Ovis aries: one gene and its partners. The protein of the gene in region 3 purifies or fractionates together with the protein of the main gene of each other region. This does not show direct contact. Links are inferred from orthologs where the notes say so. Each region holds a gene or a part of one and is shown on either strand. Other genes may lie near its edges. The genes, in order: CCNY, CCNYL1 and CDK16.

Evidence for each region.
Region 1: the proteins of CDK16 (region 3) and CCNY purify together in Homo sapiens (affinity purification with mass spectrometry; 3 studies listed by BioGRID and IntAct, counting the BioPlex papers as one, with this or other methods). This does not show direct contact. The link is inferred for Ovis aries from reciprocal best matches to the Homo sapiens genes CDK16 and CCNY.
Region 2: the proteins of CDK16 (region 3) and CCNYL1 purify together in Homo sapiens (affinity purification with mass spectrometry; 4 studies listed by BioGRID and IntAct, counting the BioPlex papers as one, with this or other methods). This does not show direct contact. The link is inferred for Ovis aries from reciprocal best matches to the Homo sapiens genes CDK16 and CCNYL1.

Annotation. Positions count from the first base shown.
Region 1 is NC_056066.1:17,432,827-17,436,474, forward strand, and holds part of CCNY (cyclin-Y), read right to left. Parts: intron 3,416-3,648; coding exon 3,358-3,415; intron 3,267-3,357; coding exon 3,147-3,266; intron 1-3,146. UniProt on the Homo sapiens protein: Positive regulatory subunit of the cyclin-dependent kinases CDK14/PFTK1 and CDK16.
Region 2 is NC_056055.1:209,790,505-209,794,252, reverse strand, and holds the start of CCNYL1 (cyclin-Y-like protein 1), read right to left. Parts: upstream 2,576-3,748; 5' UTR 2,194-2,575; coding exon 1,968-2,193; intron 1-1,967. UniProt on the Homo sapiens protein: Key regulator of Wnt signaling implicated in various biological processes including male fertility, embryonic neurogenesis and cortex development. Activates the cyclin-dependent kinase CDK16, and promotes sperm maturation.
Region 3 is NC_056080.1:57,590,446-57,594,093, forward strand, and holds part of CDK16 (cyclin-dependent kinase 16), read right to left. Parts: intron 3,165-3,648; coding exon 3,070-3,164; intron 2,973-3,069; coding exon 2,910-2,972; intron 2,657-2,909; coding exon 2,533-2,656; intron 2,333-2,532; coding exon 2,212-2,332; intron 2,103-2,211; coding exon 2,005-2,102; intron 1,921-2,004; coding exon 1,815-1,920; intron 1,734-1,814; coding exon 1,691-1,733; intron 1,544-1,690; coding exon 1,453-1,543; intron 676-1,452; coding exon 598-675; intron 498-597; coding exon of another isoform or gene 460-497; exon of another isoform or gene 183-459; coding exon 142-182; 3' UTR 1-141. UniProt on the Homo sapiens protein: Protein kinase that plays a role in vesicle-mediated transport processes and exocytosis. Regulates GH1 release by brain neurons. Phosphorylates NSF, and thereby regulates NSF oligomerization. Required for normal spermatogenesis.

The DNA of each region.
Region 1 (3,648 bases), on a different chromosome or scaffold from region 3:
GATCCCTAAGATGCTGCTGCTGCTGCTGCTGCTGCTGCTGCGTCGCTTCAGTCATGTCCGACTCTGTGCGACCCCATAGATGGCAGCCCACCAGGCTCTGCCATCCCTGGGATTTTCCAGGCAAGAACACTGGAGTGGGTTGCCATTTCCTTCTCCAATGCATGAAAGTAAAAAGTGAAAGTGAAATCGCTCAGTCATGTCCGACTCTTCGCAACCCCATGGACTGCAGCCTAGCAGGCTCCTCCGTCCATGGGATTTTCCAGGCAAGAGTACTGGAGTGGGGTGCCATTGCCTTCTCCCCCTTAGACGCTATTCCTTTTTATAAATGAGCTATGTAAACCTCTCCAAGCTCCCCAATGAAATAGCTTCTCACTGACTCAGTACAAAAAGAAGGTTATTCAATTTTGTTCTTACTTAACCACAGTAGATAGATATTAATAGGTACACTGCTGCTGCTGCTGCTAAGTCACTTCAGTCATGTCCGACTCTGTGTGACCCCATGGACAGCAGCCCACCAGGCTCCGCCGTCCCTGGGATTCTCCAGGCAAGAACACTGGAGCAGGTTGCCATTTCCTTCTCCAGTTAACAGGTATCTTAACATTTAAGATAATGTTTGGAAAAAACCAGGCATCTACCACATCTGATATTCCACTAAGATGAACTAGAGAATTAGATGAATTAGATATGATAACACACTCCATTACCGAGGGGAAGCAGATGTTATGTTTGGGGAGGAGGAATTCATAATAAGCACCACATAATAGCATGTAATTTGGCAGAACTTGCCAAGAAAGCTATATTCAAGGGTCAGCTGTAATTTCTTTAGTAAACTCCCACTTGGGTATTTTAATTTTCTGCCAAGTAAAATAATATACGATTGATTTTTTTCTGAACACCATTCCCTACACCATTGCTAATAGGACACTGCTGCTCAATTAAAATTTCAGATTTAATTTCCTAAGAAGGACCATCCTGAGAGTCTCTAGAAAATACAGGTTAGTGAGTGCTTACAGAGTGTTCAGGTGACTGTACAAAATAAAGCTGTTCGAAGGCATGGCGTGGGGGAGGAGGGGAGAAAGAAAGTGCAAACTCATGGACTCCAGGGTACACAGGACCACACTTACGAGGATGCTGGGTTTCCCTGTCCATCACAGAGAGCAGCTCCAGGTCCGTTCACTGTAGACTCTTACCACAACTCAGCTGACTGGGCCTCCCCAGTGCTTCCTATTTGCTAATATTTGAGGTAGCTGGATTCCTCACTGGACTCTATCTGAACAACACTTTTGACCTTGGTAGAAACCACTAATGTGCCCTATAAAGGGGGTTCTCTGGGGTCAGAATAGATAGATTCCACAGGTGGCCTCTTCACCAGAGTGCCGGCCTCTGAGAGGCACTTTGGGGCCAAGTGACAGCCCTCAGGGCTGCCCGGGGGAACCCGGCTGGGCTGGCATGCCTGGTGCTCCCGGACACACGCAGCAGCAAGTGGCTGAAGGCTCTGGAAGGGTCTCCCACAGGCAGGCAGTGGTCTGGTCCCCTGCGGGCAGCCGGGCAGAGCTAACTGTGGTCTTCCCTGCCTCCTCCGGGCAACAGGCCAGGCCACCAAGGGAAGGCCCAGGAGAAAGGCAGAGAGGGATACGGCCCACCAGCCCTAGCCCAGACCTGCTGTGAAGGGTTGCTGCAAACCTGGAGAGACAGGTGGGAACCATCACACGCAGGGCTCGATCGGAACACAGAGTTGGCTGCCTGCGGCATCCAGGCAGACCCTGGAGACTCAGTCTGCAGAGCTGTGCTTGTTGTGAGGGCCCCCGACGCTGCCCACCTGTCAGCTGTAGCCATCTCCTGCTAAGCCACCAGCTGATGTCCCAGGACAAGGGAGGATTTCAGCAGCTCCCACGACTGACAGACACACACCACTCCCACAGCACTCCCAAGACAAACTAACCACCCACGTCTGCTCAGAGACAGGGGAACAAACTCTACATGTTCTCAACAGAAGTCTCTGCAGAAACTACGTCTTTCACAGGACACAAAGCTTCTTCACACTGATAAATCCAAACTCGAAGGTGCTACAGGGCAAAGTCAGGTCACCATTTTCTTCAGAATGGAAGGCAAAAAAAACCTACCACATAGCATCTTGAAGCAAGAGCTTCAAAATAAATCTTTCTTCAGGGCGTCAATTTAAGTACTCATTATCTGATTTTCTTCCCCTTCTTCCCTCTTTGTCACAATCTCCCTTCATTAAAATGTCAACCCTGCCGCCTGCAGGGGGTTTTTTGAGGACTTGACATCCTTTGGAGGATCGAAGCTGAGCCATAAATATGCTTCTCAGTCATGACCTCAGGGTCTATCAGCATGCCACATCACCTGAGGAGGATTTGCTGGATGTCTGTTCACCTGTCAGGGGGCAAGTTCCAGGAGAGAAGGAATGCACAAACAAACCAGTCCTGTGCCGACGGCTGAGAACATGGGGCTCTCAGTGTGGCGGAGAGGCGGATGGTCTTTACACTCGTCGTCTTACCACAGGGTCTCTTCTCAGGGAACTGCATGGGCCCGCGGGGCAGCCCACGCACTGGCAGAGCCCATTTCTTATCTGAGTGGTGCACAATGGGAAAGGTCAGTGACAGCGGGCTCTGCTGTTAAAGCTGCTTCCCCAATGAGATCGGAGCTAAATCAACCGTCCCTAAGGTTTTAAGAATCTAAGGAAGGTTACAGGTTTTTAACTTGAGTCAATGTGCAGATTATGTCCACACTGTCTCTGAATGTCTCGTGACTGTCTCTGAATGTAAGATGAATGTCTCATCTTACAGACATGTATTTACACAAAAATCACAGAGGAGAAGGCAGCAATTACAGCAGTCCTTGCAACGTAGGGAACCAACACCACAAACCTGGACATCAATGAGGTGGTCCTGGTCCTTCTCAGCACTGTGGACCCTGCATGGGTCGTTTCAGCTTTCCTGCTTCTGAGTGTGATCTGACAGGGGGCTTTAGGTGGGACTGCGGAACAGACCACATGCCCTCTTTTGGGAGATCCAGTTGCTATTCTGGATAAACGACAACCCTGAGGTGGCCGGGGTTCCTAGGTCTACAGTGGACATTCCCACCTGCACCCCACTCCATGGCCAGGTCATCCTGCGGGCACTCACCAGGGTGACGATGGCACATTCTGCAGTCAGCTGAGCAGCACTGAACAGTGTCCGAACAAACCGGTAAATCTGCTTCTGCTCTGGGTTGTGTTTGTCATAATCTGGTGGCACTTCGGATTTCTGGGGAGGGAGACATTGTCAATGACTAGCTGGCCCACAGGAGCCACAGAGACATGACTGGACCACACCCTGGGACCCAAGGGGAGGTTACCGAAAGAGGGTGAAGGTTTTCATCGAAAATATCCAAGAGCATCCTTCCATCTGGGTCCCTGGGGAGGAAAGTAACAGAAAACGGAGTTTCCCTTCTGTAACAGAGTGCCAGTCAAAATGAAAACAAAATATATTCTGATTCAACTGTTATTTCAAGAAACAGAGGCAGTACTGTTAAGAGATGCTACTGATTATTCAGGAATTCTCATTTTTGGGAGACAATACTTAATCACTTTTGAATAGTCCATAAAATAAAGGTTATGAACCCTCATTTAGTAAAGTAAAAATCAAA
Region 2 (3,748 bases), on a different chromosome or scaffold from region 3:
GACTTCTTTTATTCCTATCCATTGTAGTAAATGTATATAGAATGGAGAGGTAAATGTTGCTTCTGAGTTGTGAACAATAAACTCAAATGGAAATAATCAAAACTGAAGTTGAGATAGGCCTAACTTACAGACAAATTATAAAATAAAAAGTGCGCTCCAGTTCTCTTTGAGCACCCAACAACTGAATTTGCTGGATCTACCACTCTGAAGGCGGTCTCTTCTGTTCAGTAGCTATGTTACACAGTTATTTCAGATCTCTAAGTCTTGGCTTCTTCATTGGCAACACACGGAGAATATTCACAGGTCTTATTTATAGATGGAAGGGTCAAGTGAAATACACCCGAAAATACGCTGTAAATCTTAAAAGAATTATGCAAAAGTCCAACTACACTAGCCTACTACTGTTTTTTAAAATCACTTAGAGGCTTACCTTATAGCAACAAACTGAGCAATTTTCACAAGTATGCACAAGTTTTGTTTTTAAAGCTACAATTAATTTATATAATTTATTCTTTCACAGTATCTGACAGTATCTGAAAAGGGAGTACTTTCCACTTACAAAGCCATATTCATCATATGGGTGAGTTCACAGGCTTACCTATTTTAACTTTGAAAGAAATTAAGTAAACCCAAATAAAATTTAAACAGAAAAGCTATAAGACATTTTCTCTAAAGAAATACTCTCTGGCATTTAAATGAAACAATTGGGCCAATGGGGCTTTAACATCTTCACGACACAATGTTTTCTACCTTAAAGAACACAGTCTTTATTAATGAACCACAGTGTTATTCAGAATCTTTTTTTTTTTAAAGCTAGAGCCGTCCAGTTTCAAAATTCTAGAGGAAAAAAATCAAACATTTTCTCTCCTCTGCTCCATGACAACCCACGCCCACCCCCAGTCATTTCGTCTTCAGAATTTTACCTGAACATTCTGAAAGTTGAATAGGATTCCACTGGCAGGAGGGGGTTGGAAGGAGAGGTAGCCATGGAGACAACTTTTCTGCAGGATCTGCCATCTTAACTGCCAAATCTTTGTATTACAAATAAAAGTCTGAATTTCTTTTTTCTCCTTTGAAACTTTTGACCAACAGTTTCAGGAACCACCCCCACCCCTCCCTTAGAAGAGGCAACATGCAAGTGGTTAAAGCTGGGGAACTGAAGACATTTTTGTGTCAAAGTGGGACTGTTAATCAGAGCTCCGTGAGGTAGTCTTTCGGTAAAAACAAACAACAAAACTAGTCCCTGCAGCCGTTGCAGTAACGTTTCACTCCGTTTACAGTTTTTTTAAGCCCCACTCTCACCTTTTTCTTTCCTAGCGTGTTCAGATTACAGTTAGAATAAGGTCGCTTCAATCAGGACAACTCTAGACAGAATTTTACTTAACGCCACACTAACTGTCGATCTGTTTTGATTTTAAATAACAAATCCTAAAATCTGTCTTAATTGTCCCGAATATCAACTATCCTAACGAGTGGAAGTGTATCTAGATCCTTACCTCGTTCCTTCACTTAGGTACCATCTGGATAGGTAAGGATAGGGAGATGGGATGGATATCGCCGAAGTTGGAAGTATTTAAGTTTTCATTGAGAAAAGAAGAGAATACATCAGAAAGTCTTTACAAAGTCCCACGAAATGTTAAATAGAATCACGAACAGGAGGGGCCTCAGACTTGAGGGTCTCGGGTTGGGCTGCGAAATGGGAATGGGGGAAGAATTGGGCGTTCGGGTAGAGAAGAGGGAGAGAGACTGGCCGGACGCGACGGGGAAAGAATAAGGGGTGGGGACACCAGGCAGGGCCAGCCTCCGTCCCCGGTGCCCAGCCCCGAGAGAGCCAACTCCAGGCAGGAAGGAGCCCTAGGCGGCGGCTCCCTCCAGGGGGACCCGGGGGTCGGCGGAGGCCAGAGGTAAGCCCGAGAGCAGACGGCGCCGGCCCCGCGAGGGGCTAGGCGCGCCGGCCGCTTTCTTACCTTCGGGCATCTCCCGGTCGCTGATGTGCTGCAGGTGGTGGCCTTCACCCGCTCCGAAATCCAACTCGGTGGGTTCCACGGCAGCCGGCGCCGGTGCTACTGCCACCGCGTCTCCGGCCGCCGCCTCGTAGACCTCAGACTCGTAGTCTGGCTCCGCCGGCCCCGCGCGCCGGCCCAACTTGGGGCTGGCATTGGGGGACACGCAACAGGTCAGCGTGTTCCCCATGGGGCGCCTCCGCTCCTCGCTGCCGTCGCCTCTGCTCGGCCCCCGACTCCGCCGAGCTCAGAAGCCGCCCCCTCCCCCAACAATGGCGCGGCGGGCACGGGCAGCCCCGGGCTATGCCGGGGCTGCGCCGCGCATGTAGACGCGGCCTCGCCTGCCTCTCGCCTGTCCGCCCCGCCGCCGGGCCCGGGGCAGGGCTCCGGCCCCGGCCGCACCCCCGCTGTCTCGCCGCCGCCGCCTCCCCGGAGTCAACTAGTCTGTGAAGGCGGCGACCAGCCCGGCTTATTTAAAAGGGGTGGGGACCCGACAAGCGCTGAGACGCGCAGCCACTGCCGGGAGAGAGCGCGGTCGGAGCTCCTCCTCCTTCCGCCGCCGCCTCCCGACTGAAAGGCGCTCGCCTGGCTGGCCCTTGCCAACCGGAACGCGTCCTTCGGTCACCTGGTTACGAGGGACCAATCACACACAAAGTTTCCTCCCAGCGCCCGCCTCAGAGAGCAGGCACGTGACTCACAATGCCCCGCCCCCACCCTGCGGCTGCTCCGCCCCTCGAGTGGCGCGCCCTGGACTCCTGTTTCCATTCATCGTGCGGCAGTCGGAGCTTTCCGGTCCTTCGGGAAGCGGTGAGGGAGTTTGTGAATCGAAGCTGTTCTGAGTCAGTGGGCTCTATAGAAGGCTTGTTAGTAAAGAGTCAGTTCCGTTAGCAACTCGGTTTCATCGGGTCTGACAGCTGACTGATTTGATGCATTGCTCAACGAACTTAGTTACACCCGAATCGTTGAGTTTTTTGTAACTAAATGCTCCTCTCGAACTGACTTCGAAAGAGTGTTAGTTTCCGCCTTCAGTTTAACCATAGCAACCCCTCTGTGTCCGTGTCTTGAATGAGACTTGAGGACACGTCACCCCTCCACTTCCTCATCGGTAAATTAGGGACCGAACTCCTCCCTCCCAACTCTGAAACGCTGGGATTCAGCAACTCGATTTTCTCGCTGTTTCTCTCTTCCACGGCACGACTCTCCAGGTTTCCTTACTTTCACCCTACTTTATGTGTAACATAAAGCACAAAGCACGATTTTTCTCGTACGAAACTGAGAGTCACAAAGTGAAGTACCACGGTTTTTATTTAATAAAGATGATGGTAAAGATATACTCCCAAGGTCACATGATTGCTCAGGGGTATGGCCAGGATTTGGTCTCCGATTGTGTGGATCCCCAAAGGCACCTTATTGTGATTATCAGAAAATAAAAGTAGAAGTCAAATTTGATTGGAAGTGGCAAGGGAATGTCTCTAAGGGAGAACAATTTTTTGAGGTGGCTTTAAAAATACTTTCCCTTCTTTCAACATTGGTTAGTCCCTCCTACTTTCTAGGCACTGTGTTCCTGCAATAGCCCTGCCCTCGATGAGCTCAGTCAGGCGCAAGAGAAAATAAAGGCTTAGAAAGTCCAGTTGTCTGAGGTCAGTCACACTGCTGCCAAGTACTTGAACCTGAAATTCAAACCTAGATCTATCTAACCCCAAAGTAGGTTCTGGGGTAAAGAGCTTGATTTTTTCCCCCCAGAA
Region 3 (3,648 bases):
GGAAGGGGAGCCTCAGACCCAAGGCATCACCATGTCTTGTCTGAGTCGAGATCCCCAGCCTGGGCTAGCTCCAGACCCCTGGATGGCCATGGGGTAGTGGTCCTGGGGGAGGGTATGATGGGGAGAGGTCTAGGCCTGGCTTCAGTGTGGGAGGCTGGCACGGCCACGCTGTCCACCAGCAACTACCAAGACAGAGAGAGAAAGAGACACAGACAGACAGACAGACAGACCAGGTGAAGGAGCGATGAGAGCTTTGTTAGCACCCAGCAGACAGGCCAATGGGTGGGCCAACAGGCCAATGGTCGGATGTTCAGACAGGCAGCAGGGGACGTGTGGGCATGGGAGCATGAGTCAGGCAGGTAGGCAGGCAGCAAGCAGGGAGGATGCAGTTGGGGGCTGCCCTGTGAGAGGGGTGTGGCATCCCTCCAGCTGCTGCCTGCTGGGGCCTCGGTCTGTGGCTTAGAATTCGGTGTCCACCACTCGATAAGCTGGCCTGCCTGCAGGGGAAAGCAGAGCGGATGGCTGTTGGTGAGCAAGCAGGTAAGTGGACGGGAGCCAGGGGGCAGGGAAGAGGGCAAGGGTCACACCTACACTTACCTGAGTCAGGCATTGACGAAGATCGAATGCTGGCCTCCTTTTGTAGCTGGATCTCCTTTAGTGCAAATATGGAAGTAGCTGTGGGTGGAGGAGAGACAGAAGTGGGGCATGACCCATGAGGCAATCCAGGACCACCTCCCGTGTGACCCCATCCGGGCAATTAGAAAATTTTCTAATTTTCTTTGAGTCTTGACTTTCATCGGCCAAATAATCCCACACACAAACCAGCTACTAGGGAAAATGGAATGTAGACTATTACATGACACTGAGAAATTAGTAATTTTGTCAAGTGTGACAGTGGTATTGCAATTACCACCTGTTAAGTCTAGATGATGGATGATGTCTGGGTTGTTACTGAGATTAATCCGATGTGTGTTTTTTTTAGTGTGACCATTGTATTATTGTTGTGTTTAAGAAAATATTTTAGAGGTACATGCTAAAATTGTATAGATGAATAATGGATCTGAGACTTGATTTAAAATAATCAGAGTGAATATAGATAAAACCACTGCGGCCATGAGTTGATCACTTGTTAGAGTACTGGGGACTTATTATTTGGTTCAATATATAATAGACCATATTACTTGGTTTAATATATAAATATATGGCATTTTAAGGTAAAGTGATGGATGTTCTGTCAGGTTTTATGTTTGAAAATTTCCATGAAATGTAAAAGAAACTGAAAGCTAAAAAACTTTTTTGTAAAAAACAACATATCACATATGTGAACAAGGGCATATGCCTCACCCCATCAGAGGTGGCACAGCTAGAACTCAACACAACTGCCCAGCTATCTGCAGAAATCCTGTTCCCTAAAGCCCCCCACCAGCTAGTCCACTCCCCAGCCCCACTCACTGTCAGGAAGTTTGTGGATCCGATCCCCCAGACTGAGGAAGAATGGATGTTTCATGGCATCCTCTGCGGAGATCCGATTGCGACCTTCAAACTGAGTGTGTGTTGGGGTGGGGGAGTATTGACACTTTCAACAAGTAGGCTTCTCTTCTTCCCTGCCCCAGACCCTGCCCCTGTAGCTCTGTTTCCCCACACCTGGAATCCGCTAGCCCCCTAGGGTGGCCCAGGAAGGTGGTCTCACCTGCAGCAGCTTGGTGAGGAGGTCAGCCCCGTCGCTGTCAACTCTACCTCAAGGACAAGGGGACCTGTTTTAAACTGAGTTTGGGTACTCTGGCCCCTAACAGCCACCCACCCACCAGCCTCACCGGGGTGCATGGCTCAAAAGGGCCTCGGCTCGGTACTTGGGGTAGTTGTATGTCCTGAACTCTTCATTGGACAGGATGCCTGGCCATGTATCTTCATTTGGGGTTCCTGGTGGGGAAACGGAGTTATCCTAAGCATCTCACAGGGCCTCCCTGCATGTCCCCACAGTTCCTAGGGTTCATGCCTCCTTACCCAAGATGCGGAAGATGAAGTGCAGCTGCTCCTCCACTGTGGAGCCTGGGAAGAGGGGCCGGCCTGTGGCCATCTCATAGAAGATGCAGCCCACACCCCTGGGCAGGGAGAGCACAGTGAATAGGCAGGTAGTTGGCTGGTTGGCTGTTGTGACCAAGCCACTCCCCTTTACTGCGTGGCCCCTGCCACACTTCAGCCTGTCCTTACCACATGTCAATCTGAGTGGAGTAGTCCGTGGACCCGAGCAGGATGTCAGGGGGCCGGTACCACAGTGTTACCACCTCGTTGGAGTAGGTCTTCGTTGGAATTGACTTGGCCCGGGCCAGGCCTGATAGGTGGAGATAATGAGCAGCTGGAATTGAGGAGGTCATGGGCCGTCTGGGGGAGAATGTAGTTGGGACTGAGGGTTTCCCAAGTGAAGCTTAGAGAGGCTGAAGGGGAGGGACTGAGACAGGTGGTCAGGGGGAAGGAGGGGCTGGGAGAGTAAGGTTGGGGGATCACTGGGATGAAGGGGGAGGCCACGGGTACCGAAGTCAGCCAGCTTGAGCTCTCCTCGCTCATTGATGAGTAGGTTCTGTGGCTTGAGGTCTCGGTGTAGCACCTTCTGCCGGTGGCAGTAGGCCAGGCCACGGAGCAGCTGGAACAGGAACAGCTGGGGACCCAGGAACGGCAGGCAGAGGTCAAAGAGTAGCCAGCAGCCTGACCCCAAGCAGGCACTGCTCCCCCTCCCAAACACAAGCACTGAGCCCAGAGCCTTGTCTCACAAATAGAGGATAGGGTCCCAACGCCCTTCAAGGGCTCCCAGCAAAAAAGCCAAACGGGAAACGTCTGTTTCTGGGAGATTTGTGGGGTGGAGTGGGTGAGTGGGGGCCCCCTTGTGCCCCTGCTTCCTGCCCCACACCCACTTTCACGTTGTGCATGTTGATGATGTTCCCACAGTCATCCAGGTACTGCTTCAGGTCCTTGTCCTGAGGAGAGAAGAGCAGGTAGAGGAAAGAGGGTCACGTCCTATGGCTCCTGGCCATCTCCCCACCTCCCCCAGGACCCATGGCCACCCAACCTTACCAGGTACTCAAAGACAAGGGTGAGGGACTTCTCCGTGTGAATAATGTCATGTAGCGTGACGATGTTGGCATGTTTGAGGTCCTTGAGCAGGGACACTGCAGGAAGCAGGGAGTTGGGACGGGGGACGAATCAAGGCCCATACTCAGGACAGAGGCGAGGAGGAGGACTAGACAGGGTCAAGCCCAGGGTTTCCTCCTTTCCCTGTGTGGTTTGGGATGGTGGCTCACAGTCCACTCCAACCCAGCTCCAACCCACCTGCTATCAGGAAGAAGGTGTGTTCCCAAGTTCCAGACATGCAGAGCCAGAACCTGGGATCGCAGCCTTAAGCTTACGTGACACTAGATCTTTACAACCAGTTTTTGGCTTTGGAAAGGGCCCTTGTTCCAACCCTCAGTATACAGACCTGCAGCTTCATGTAAAAATGAGTTTGTACACTCAATTTCTATACAATTCAGACTCATTCCATGTCAAGTAAACTGGTGAGCACTTCAGGGATATTCCCAGAACCAAAGCAAACAATTTACCTGACTCTTCTCAACACAGGAAGACTCCTGGTTACCCTGATTTATTATCTGGATA